2 linked regions of the Diceros bicornis minor genome follow. Each later gene encodes a partner of the first gene's protein in a complex. Links are inferred from orthologs where the notes say so. Each region holds a gene or a part of one and is shown on either strand. Other genes may lie near its edges. The genes, in order: IL22RA2 and IL22.

Region 1 (3,914 bases):
GTTAGCTTATCAGCGATGGAAACTTCGCCCGGAGGAAATAAGGAGTCTGGATTGGGAAGTCTGTCACAGCACAGAGGAGCTGGAAAACCTGGCATTATCTTCACAAACCCCTCCCCACGGCAGTAGGTCTACCTCCCCCCTTATCAGTGTGGGCTTCAGGAAGGCGAGGGCAAAGTCTGCCATTTGCTGCCGCATCCTTGCTGCTGAGAACACTACCTAGCACATACGTGGTAGATAGCAGATGTTCGTTAAATGTTGTTGAATGAATGAGCGAGTGAGGGAACGGGGGAGTACTGCCCAGCAGCCATCACTGTTCTGTACTAAAGAGGCCATTCTACCAAGAGCTTGAAAGAGACTACTCAAGGGGAAAAAGACTCCAGAATATATTTCCTCTTTTGACCCAAACAGCCTTTTAAAAAAAAAAAAAATCTTTGTGATTTTCTTATGCTTTAATGTATACTTTTAGTGCCTCAAAAACATGTGGTAAAAGCATTTGATAAGAAAGATGATATAATGACTCACGGGCAAAGAACAGATGACCCAGTTCGTTTGGATTTCAAAGAAGATATGAAAAAGATCTAATGCAGCTCAAAGTCATTGTTCTCCACATTCATCCTTTTAAGGACACGTTTGGTTCGATAGCTCAAAATCTCATCAGACTGCTGGAAACTGAGGGTGGGGATGGGAAAGGAAGAGCATTGGTTGAGTGGGGCCCAGGGCCATGCGGATGGGAAGGGGGTGTGGCAGGGAGCCCTGTGTGGAGCCGGGGGTGCAGAGGGTGAAGTGTCTTGGGGTGGGGTCGGGGGTGTCGGGGAGCCTCGGAGAAGGGAGGAGAAGGAAGAATCGACTGGGGACCCCACCTGCTTGAACCACCGCCAAGGGGCCCTGAGAGCTGCACCTGCCGAGCACCGATCACTCAAATCACCTGTGGCCAAGTCCTGGTCGCTGGCCGCTCCCTGCCTCCAGGGCCAACTCCCCTGGAGGCCTCACAGGTGGCTCACTCCCACCCCCGCCAGCGCCCTGCAGGGTTCCTCACCCTCCCCTGCCCTCTCCTGCCCTCCATCCGCCAAATCTCAGTGTTTTGCCTTTTCACAGCTAACAAAGCCCCAGTCCCAACAAAAACAAACTTCCACATCAGAGTCACTAAGAGCAAATGTTATTTGAAGTGATCCTTACGCTTTTCTAATTCCTCTAAAATAATAAAATAATATAATGTATTAGCAAAATGAGATTCAGCTGCTTCAAGGAACTGTGGTTGAACCCAGGAGGGAGTGTGCAGCGTGAGGACCCCAGCTTCCTCTTCTGTCGTTGAGGGGAACCCCAGTTGTCCGGCAGTCACAGCACAGCCATGACACCCCAACACTGCTTTCTAGGCTTCCTCGTCAGTGTCTCCCTGACTCAAGTGGTCGGTAAGTGCTTCTTTTCTTTTAATTGCTCACAGCTTTGTCATCTGAGCTTGCTCCAGGGACTGTCAGAAATGGCAATGGTGCTTCTCTGGGCTTTGTAAAAATTTCAGTATCTTTTGTCACACAATGGTCAGAGCAGACCTGTGGGCAGTTTCTATCTGCAGCCTGAATAACTCCACGGGACTTAATGAGCTGCTACTAAAGAGGAGGCACTCTAGTGGGGGCAGAAAACTCCAACCACGGCAGAGGTACATCCATCTCTCCATCTCCATCTTTTGCCTTCCTGGGACACGATAGCATAGCGGTTGCCAGCGCAGGCTCCTAAGCCACGCTGAGTCTGGATTTCAACTCTGCTGTTTATTATCTAGGGACCTTGGGCAATTGACTTAACCTGGTGCCTCAATTTCTTCATCTGCAGAATGGGGATTGTAGGTCACTTGAGATTAAATGAGTTAATATATGCCAAGTCTTAGGGCAGTGCCTGGCACAGAATAGAGATCGTAAACAACATGTGAGAATCTGCTGTTGATATTCACTGAGAACTTTTCAGAGCACAGAGCATCTTATCACCCACCACACCTCTGAACAAGGCCTTAGAACCCCTAGTTAACAGAAGGTTACCTTAGTGTAAGGGGTTCAAGTAACTTTCCCAAGACTGGACAGGCGCCCAGTGACTGATAATACAAAACAATTCAAGCCTCTGTCCCCAAGAAAGGTGTGGATTTGAGAAGGTGATACCAAGGTGATACCAAGGACTCAGTTAGCAAAACATGGTGGGAAGTCAAGAGCTACAAATGGTCCTGGCTCCGCGTCTTACAGGCCTGTAACCTTGGGCAAGATATGCAGTGTCCTCAAGCCTCAGTTTCCCCATCTGTAAAGTGTACTAATAAAAATACCTACCCTATCGGTGGTTGTGAGAATGAAGCAAGATGGAAAGCCTTGGGCACAGTTCCTAATATATGTTTAATGCTCTTATATGTCCAATGATCAATGAATGCCAGCCAGGGGAGGAGGAGGAAGAGGGCAAGAAGGAGGAGGAGGAACAGCATCCTTCAGCCTCTCATTGCTCTGCTCCTCCGTGAGCTCCTCTCCCCCAGGCTAGGCTCTTGGTTTTCTGTGGGACGTGAGAGGTAGGCTCTAGGTCAGACTGCCTGAGTGAGAAATCTGCTTCACGATCTGCTGCTGCGCGAGTTCCTCCACCTGTCCAAGGCTTGGTTTTTTAGTCGGAAAAAGGAAGATGACAATAGCACCTTGGCAACAGAAGAGCTGGGCAGATTGACTGAGTCAATGAGGGTGAAGCCCCTCTGTGTCTGGAACAGTCATTTGCTGTTATTGTTGATGCGGGTAGCAGGGGTGGTGTCACAGAAGTGAGAGAAGAAATGCACAGACAGATGAGACAAGGGGCACTGAGCCATCGATCTTCAAGGTAAAGTCAACTCTGAGCAGGGTCTCTAGGAAACTGTGCCTGTCATATCCTGAAAACTTCTGGAATTTTTATGTCCTAAATATGATTGATTAGGTAGTGATTTGGTGAGCAGAATCAGTGGTGGCATAGACTCTGTGGGGGAAGAGGGAGAATCCCCCTCTGCCCTTTCCTTTAAGGTCCTTATGGCTGGCCAAATAATTAACAAGACAGGTTAGCAGGAGAAAATAATACCAAGTTTAATAACATGTATACGTGGGAGAAACCAGGGACACTGAGTTGCTCAACACAATAGCAGAGATTCTCATCTTAAATACCATCTTCAGCTAAAGACAAAGGAGGATGTTGGGGGTGGGGGAGTCAGTTACAGGAGATTACCACTAAAGCACAGTAAACAAGAGTAAGGTTATTATGCAGATTTAAGGCCTCACCTTCCACATTGATAAGTTTCTAGAAATGAGGTCATCTCCCCTCTTCCCAATACAGAGAGGGAGATACCTTTACAAATGGAGATTTCCCATATAAATGTAAATGTTTGTCTGGCAACTCCTTGCAGGGCCATCCAGAGAATGTGGCCAGAGAGATAGAATTTTTGATAAGATGGGCTTGTTGGTGCCTTTCCTATTGTAACATCTATTTTACATTATATTACAGCCATCAGATAGTAACTCCTTCCTGGAACAGATCTTCTACGTCAAATTCTTTAGGCAGTTAGTGGGGGAGGTCAAATGTCTGTCAGAGAAAACAATCAAGGTGAAGAGATATATTTCAGGGTGGCCAAATCTTGATCTCCCACAACTCTTTCCAAGTACACACCCCATTTGATGCACTGGAGGAGATCCAAAACATAAAACAAATAACAGTATTAACATTATTTTGTTGGTATAAATAAATACCTAAGGCAACAGCCCTGTTCATTAGAACATAACAAATCTTGAATGTTCAGAGCTGAGATCATGGGCCTAGGAGTCTTTTCTTCCAGCTTAACGATACTTGAGCAAAGATTTGAAGGAGATGAAGAGATGAGGCATGTGGAAATCCAGGGAAGAATATTCCAGGGAAAGGGAAGGGCCAGTGCAGAGACC
Region 2 (3,914 bases), on another chromosome or scaffold:
TTTTTAGGTGTTATTTAGAATTCAGTGCATTTTTAATAATTTAAAGTCAACATGTAACTACTATATTGCCAGATGCTTTTCTTCAGACATCCACATATATAACAAAAGTTGTTAGAAAATTTTTGGAAATCTCATTTTGAGACTTAACTTGTGTGTTGTTTCGAATGAGTGCAGATAAAATTTCAAGATGAACTACTACGACGACCGTGTTCTTAAAATACTTGCATGATAAGAAAAATATCGATCAGGTTGTTCAACACTAAGATTGTCAAACTTAAATTGATATTGATTACAATTTAATGAAAAAATTTTAAGGTATGTTTGCATCTACCCTGATTGTTATTACCACTTGAAAAAAGCCACCAAATGGGAGGAAAACTGTGCTTAGATTAGCCAACACTTATTTTTAAAATGTGAGTCTTCTTCAGGATTCAGCATATTAAAAAATGACATAAAATTATTTTTAAAAATGGAATTACCCCCAAGCTGTCATTACTGTTTCTTTTAAAGCAGAGGATATAGGACACAGGTCCTTTATTTCTGATCACCTCTAATGAGATAAGAATCTAAGAAGCTGGAAGGAAAATGAGACCGTGACCAAAAATGCTTACTCAGTTACTATAGGAGATCAAAAAACATTATACCAAATCTGGAATCTACGAAGATAAAGCAATTGTTTTCTCTGAAAACTATGTAGGGTTTAGAAAGTTTCTGGGATTTGTCTGTAACAATACCTTCCGGGCCCTACTGATGACGCTTTAGGGAACGCTCGCCTATCAAGATGGAAGGATAGGAGGTGGCGTTTGTGGCCTCCCGTGGTGGTTAGGTAGTTCTCAGAAGACAGTACTGGAAATTAGATAATTGTTGATGTCATGCTTTTCACAACCAAAAAAATTTGGTGTCGTGGGGGCTATAAAAGTGGCAGCGTCTACCTTCCGATCACAAGCAGAACCGTGAAAACAGGTAAGTGTTTCAGCAAAGTGGGTATGATCGGTCGGTTTGATACTTCTTGATACTTAATTTTTTCCCTTTATGTTGACTTTGCTTCTTCTTCTCTTGATCCCAGGCTCTCCTTCCCTCGTTGCCAATTGCTGGAGTTAGATTTGTCTGCCATGGCCGCCCTGCAGAAATCTGCGAGCTCTCCCCTTACGCAGGCTCTGGCTGCCAGCTCCCTCCTTCTCCTTGCCCTGTGGGTGCAGGGAGGAGCGGCCGTGCCCATCAGCTCTCACTGCAGGCTCGACAAGTCTGACTTCCAGCAGCCGTACATTACCAACCGCACCTTCATGCTGGCCAAGGAGGTACCCATCTCAACTTCTCTCGCTGTCACATCTTAGCTACTTGGAGCCCAAATAGTTGTTAACAGTTTTCTTCAGAGCACATCTAAAATCTTTAAGAACCGCTCATTCATCTCTACAGGTAGACCAGAGATCATTCTCTATGTCTCTTCATAGACTCTTTGGAGATGGGGCTTTACCAAAAGACCTTCCGCCTTGGCCTTCAGGATACATACATTGAGTTTTACCCAAAAAAAGAGACATTTAGCAGCTCATCTGACTATTCATTTTTTTCCTTTCCTCCTGTGAGCATTATTTTAAACTCATGCACACATCTGAATTCTTTCTTTAGTCTTCGTGGAGTGGCTCTGGGGAAAGGGGTAGAGTCCATCTCTACTTACAGACTTTTCTTTTCTCTCCTCGATGTCCAGGCACTTAGTCTTTTCTTCTCTTCCAGGCTAGTTTGGCAGATAACAACACAGATGTTCGGCTCATCGGGGAGAAACTGTTCCGCAGAGTCAATGTAAGCCGCAGCTGTGATGAGCAGGGCAGTGTGCCGTCCGTGGATATGTGGAGCAGTGGGATGGTGGTTTGGGTCTTCTGGATGTCCACTAATATGACTCTGCTACTCCACTTTCACCTGCAGATGAGAGAGCGCTGCTCCCTGATGAAGCAGGTGCTGAACTTCACCCTTGAAGAAGTGCTGCTCCCTCACTCCGATCGCTTCCAGCCCTACATGCAGGAGGTGGTGTCCTTTCTGGCCAGGCTCAGCAACAAGCTAAACCACTGTGTAAGTTCTCCTCCCGGCCCAAGCCTGCCCACTCCTGGTGGCCTGCCCACTCCTGGTGGCCTGCCTTCCGTCCTCCTCCCACTTAGAGCCCTTTCCCCCCCCACCCCACAGCGGGCAGCAACGCCGTTATGGGAGCCATCTGGAATCACAGAGTGTCTGTTTTTGCTTGAATTGAGTCACATTTTGAGTTTATGGTGATGAATGGGGTTGAAAGACAAGGGCAGAGAAGGCTCATTTGTCCCTGGGGAAAAGCATCTCAGGTTATGTGAGATGAGAAAGCTGTTGGGAGCTGTCAGGGAAAACACCTAGATGTGGAAATGGATCCACCAAGTGTAAGTGGATGGAGGGAGGGGATGGGAAAGAGATAAAGAGGGAAATGAAGATTTACTGTTCAGTGGTGGGTGGGCAAAGATTGCGCCCTTTTGATGTCGTGGGAAGTGACTAAATCGGAGGCGTGTGAACTGGATGCCTCTGAACATTTAAAACTATGAAAAAGTTTTAAGTGGAGTGGGCAGAGCGAGGGAGATCCTGTATTTATTGAGGAGGGCCTGCTGTTCACACGAGATGTTTTGTGTACGTTTCTTGTTCTGAGCACGAATTTCTGATGAGGTACAGTTAGGGCTTTATTCTTGACTGAATTTGCATAAACCACTCCACTCTTTCCACAAGCTTAAACCTCAGGAGGATTTCCGAAAGGCGAAGAGAGGTCCCAGGTGAAGGAAATGACTGGATTTTGATGTCCAAGGGAATTCAAGAGCTCAGAAAATCTAGGTCACTGGTGAAATCTAGGTCGTTGTGGGCAAAATTGCTAAGAACTGTAATTGCAGGTGAATTGTAATAATCCTCAGTTAGGGACCGAGGGTCATAAGCTTCAGTGCAACCATGTGAAAACAGCTTCTCCGGTTTTCATTTTGTAGCATGTTGAGAGCAATGACCAGCACATCCAGAGAAATGTGCAACAGCTGAAGGACACAGTGAAAAAGGTACCGCTAGTAACTGTTAATGCTATATCAGTAAATACGAGAGACAAATGTTGTTTTTCTCTTTTTTACTTATTTTCTTTTTTCCCACTGTGTCGTGATTTTTACTTGATTCTCTCACCATCGGGTTGATTATGTAGGAGCCTATGTGCGTAGATGTGTCTATATGTTTATAAATCAATTTCCAAATTTAATTCTAGAACTGGCTGGGAAGTCAGGTTGTCTGGTCTCATCACCCCATGTTCCAGCGTGGCCAGGGGCCCCACAGGGCTGGAAAGCAGGTCTCCTGAACCCACCCAGGCTAGTGCTTTTTCCAGCAGCCATATACATTAGTGTTTGTATTATTAATTCTTGGGGAAATTTAAGAATCCTACTGAGTCCTGTAATTTGAAGAAGGATTTGTTAAAAAACAGAAAAAATGCCTGGGGCACATGTATTTGAAGTGATTTTTGAAGTCATTAGTTTGACAATTGAAAACTTGGCGAAATAAAACCCAAACAACAATAACAGAAGAACTGGACTTGCAGATAGGATGAATTTCTGGGATGACCAATACTTATATTTAATTATCATAATATAATACCCAACAGCTATTGATTTTAATTTAAAAGCAAGAGTGAACAACCCCTGATTTCTTTTACACAGTTTCAAATACAATGAAAATAATAGTAAGGGATTTGTGATAGTGAAATGAAGTCTGAATTGGAAGTGCTCCTTTCTTCCTCTCTCCTTTCACCTTCCTTTCCGGTCTTCTTCCCTCAGTCAAGCCCCAGTGAACATCTGTCTGGAGTAGGCTAGTGTAGGTGTCTACAGCGGATGATACAGTCATTCGACCTATTTGGGGGGGAGGCTCAGACTAGCAGTTGTGAC

What was found.
Region 2: the proteins of IL22RA2 (region 1) and IL22 are in contact, whole or in part, in a crystal structure (PDB 3G9V), measured with the Homo sapiens proteins. The link is inferred for Diceros bicornis minor from reciprocal best matches to the Homo sapiens genes IL22RA2 and IL22. Residues at the interface, in NP_443194.1 of Homo sapiens: Lys65, Ile66, Tyr99, Gly100, Gln101, Arg102, Trp104, Gln128, Glu129, Pro130, Tyr132, Met148, Pro150, Arg151, Thr153, Trp155, Trp156, Glu157, Glu200, Pro246, Met247, Leu248, Asp249, Arg250; in NP_065386.1 of Homo sapiens: Phe47, Gln48, Pro50, Thr53, Asn54, Phe57, Met58, Lys61, Ser64, Leu65, Asp67, Asn69, Thr70, Asp71, Val72, Arg73, Leu74, Lys162, Gly165, Glu166, Asp168, Leu169, Met172, Arg175, Asn176.

The regions. Positions count from the first base shown.
Region 1 is NC_080762.1:1,502,827-1,506,740, forward strand, and holds the start of IL22RA2 (interleukin-22 receptor subunit alpha-2), read left to right. Parts: upstream 1-1,152; 5' UTR 1,153-1,348; coding exon 1,349-1,409; intron 1,410-3,914. UniProt on the Homo sapiens protein: Isoform 2 is a receptor for IL22. Binds to IL22, prevents interaction with the functional IL-22R complex and blocks the activity of IL22 (in vitro). May play an important role as an IL22 antagonist in the regulation of inflammatory responses.
Region 2 is NC_080756.1:2,851,094-2,855,007, forward strand, and holds the start of IL22 (interleukin-22), read left to right. Parts: upstream 1-1,112; coding exon 1,113-1,298; intron 1,299-1,731; coding exon 1,732-1,797; intron 1,798-1,920; coding exon 1,921-2,064; intron 2,065-2,981; coding exon 2,982-3,047; intron 3,048-3,914. UniProt on the Homo sapiens protein: Cytokine that plays a critical role in modulating tissue responses during inflammation. Plays an essential role in the regeneration of epithelial cells to maintain barrier function after injury and for the prevention of further tissue damage.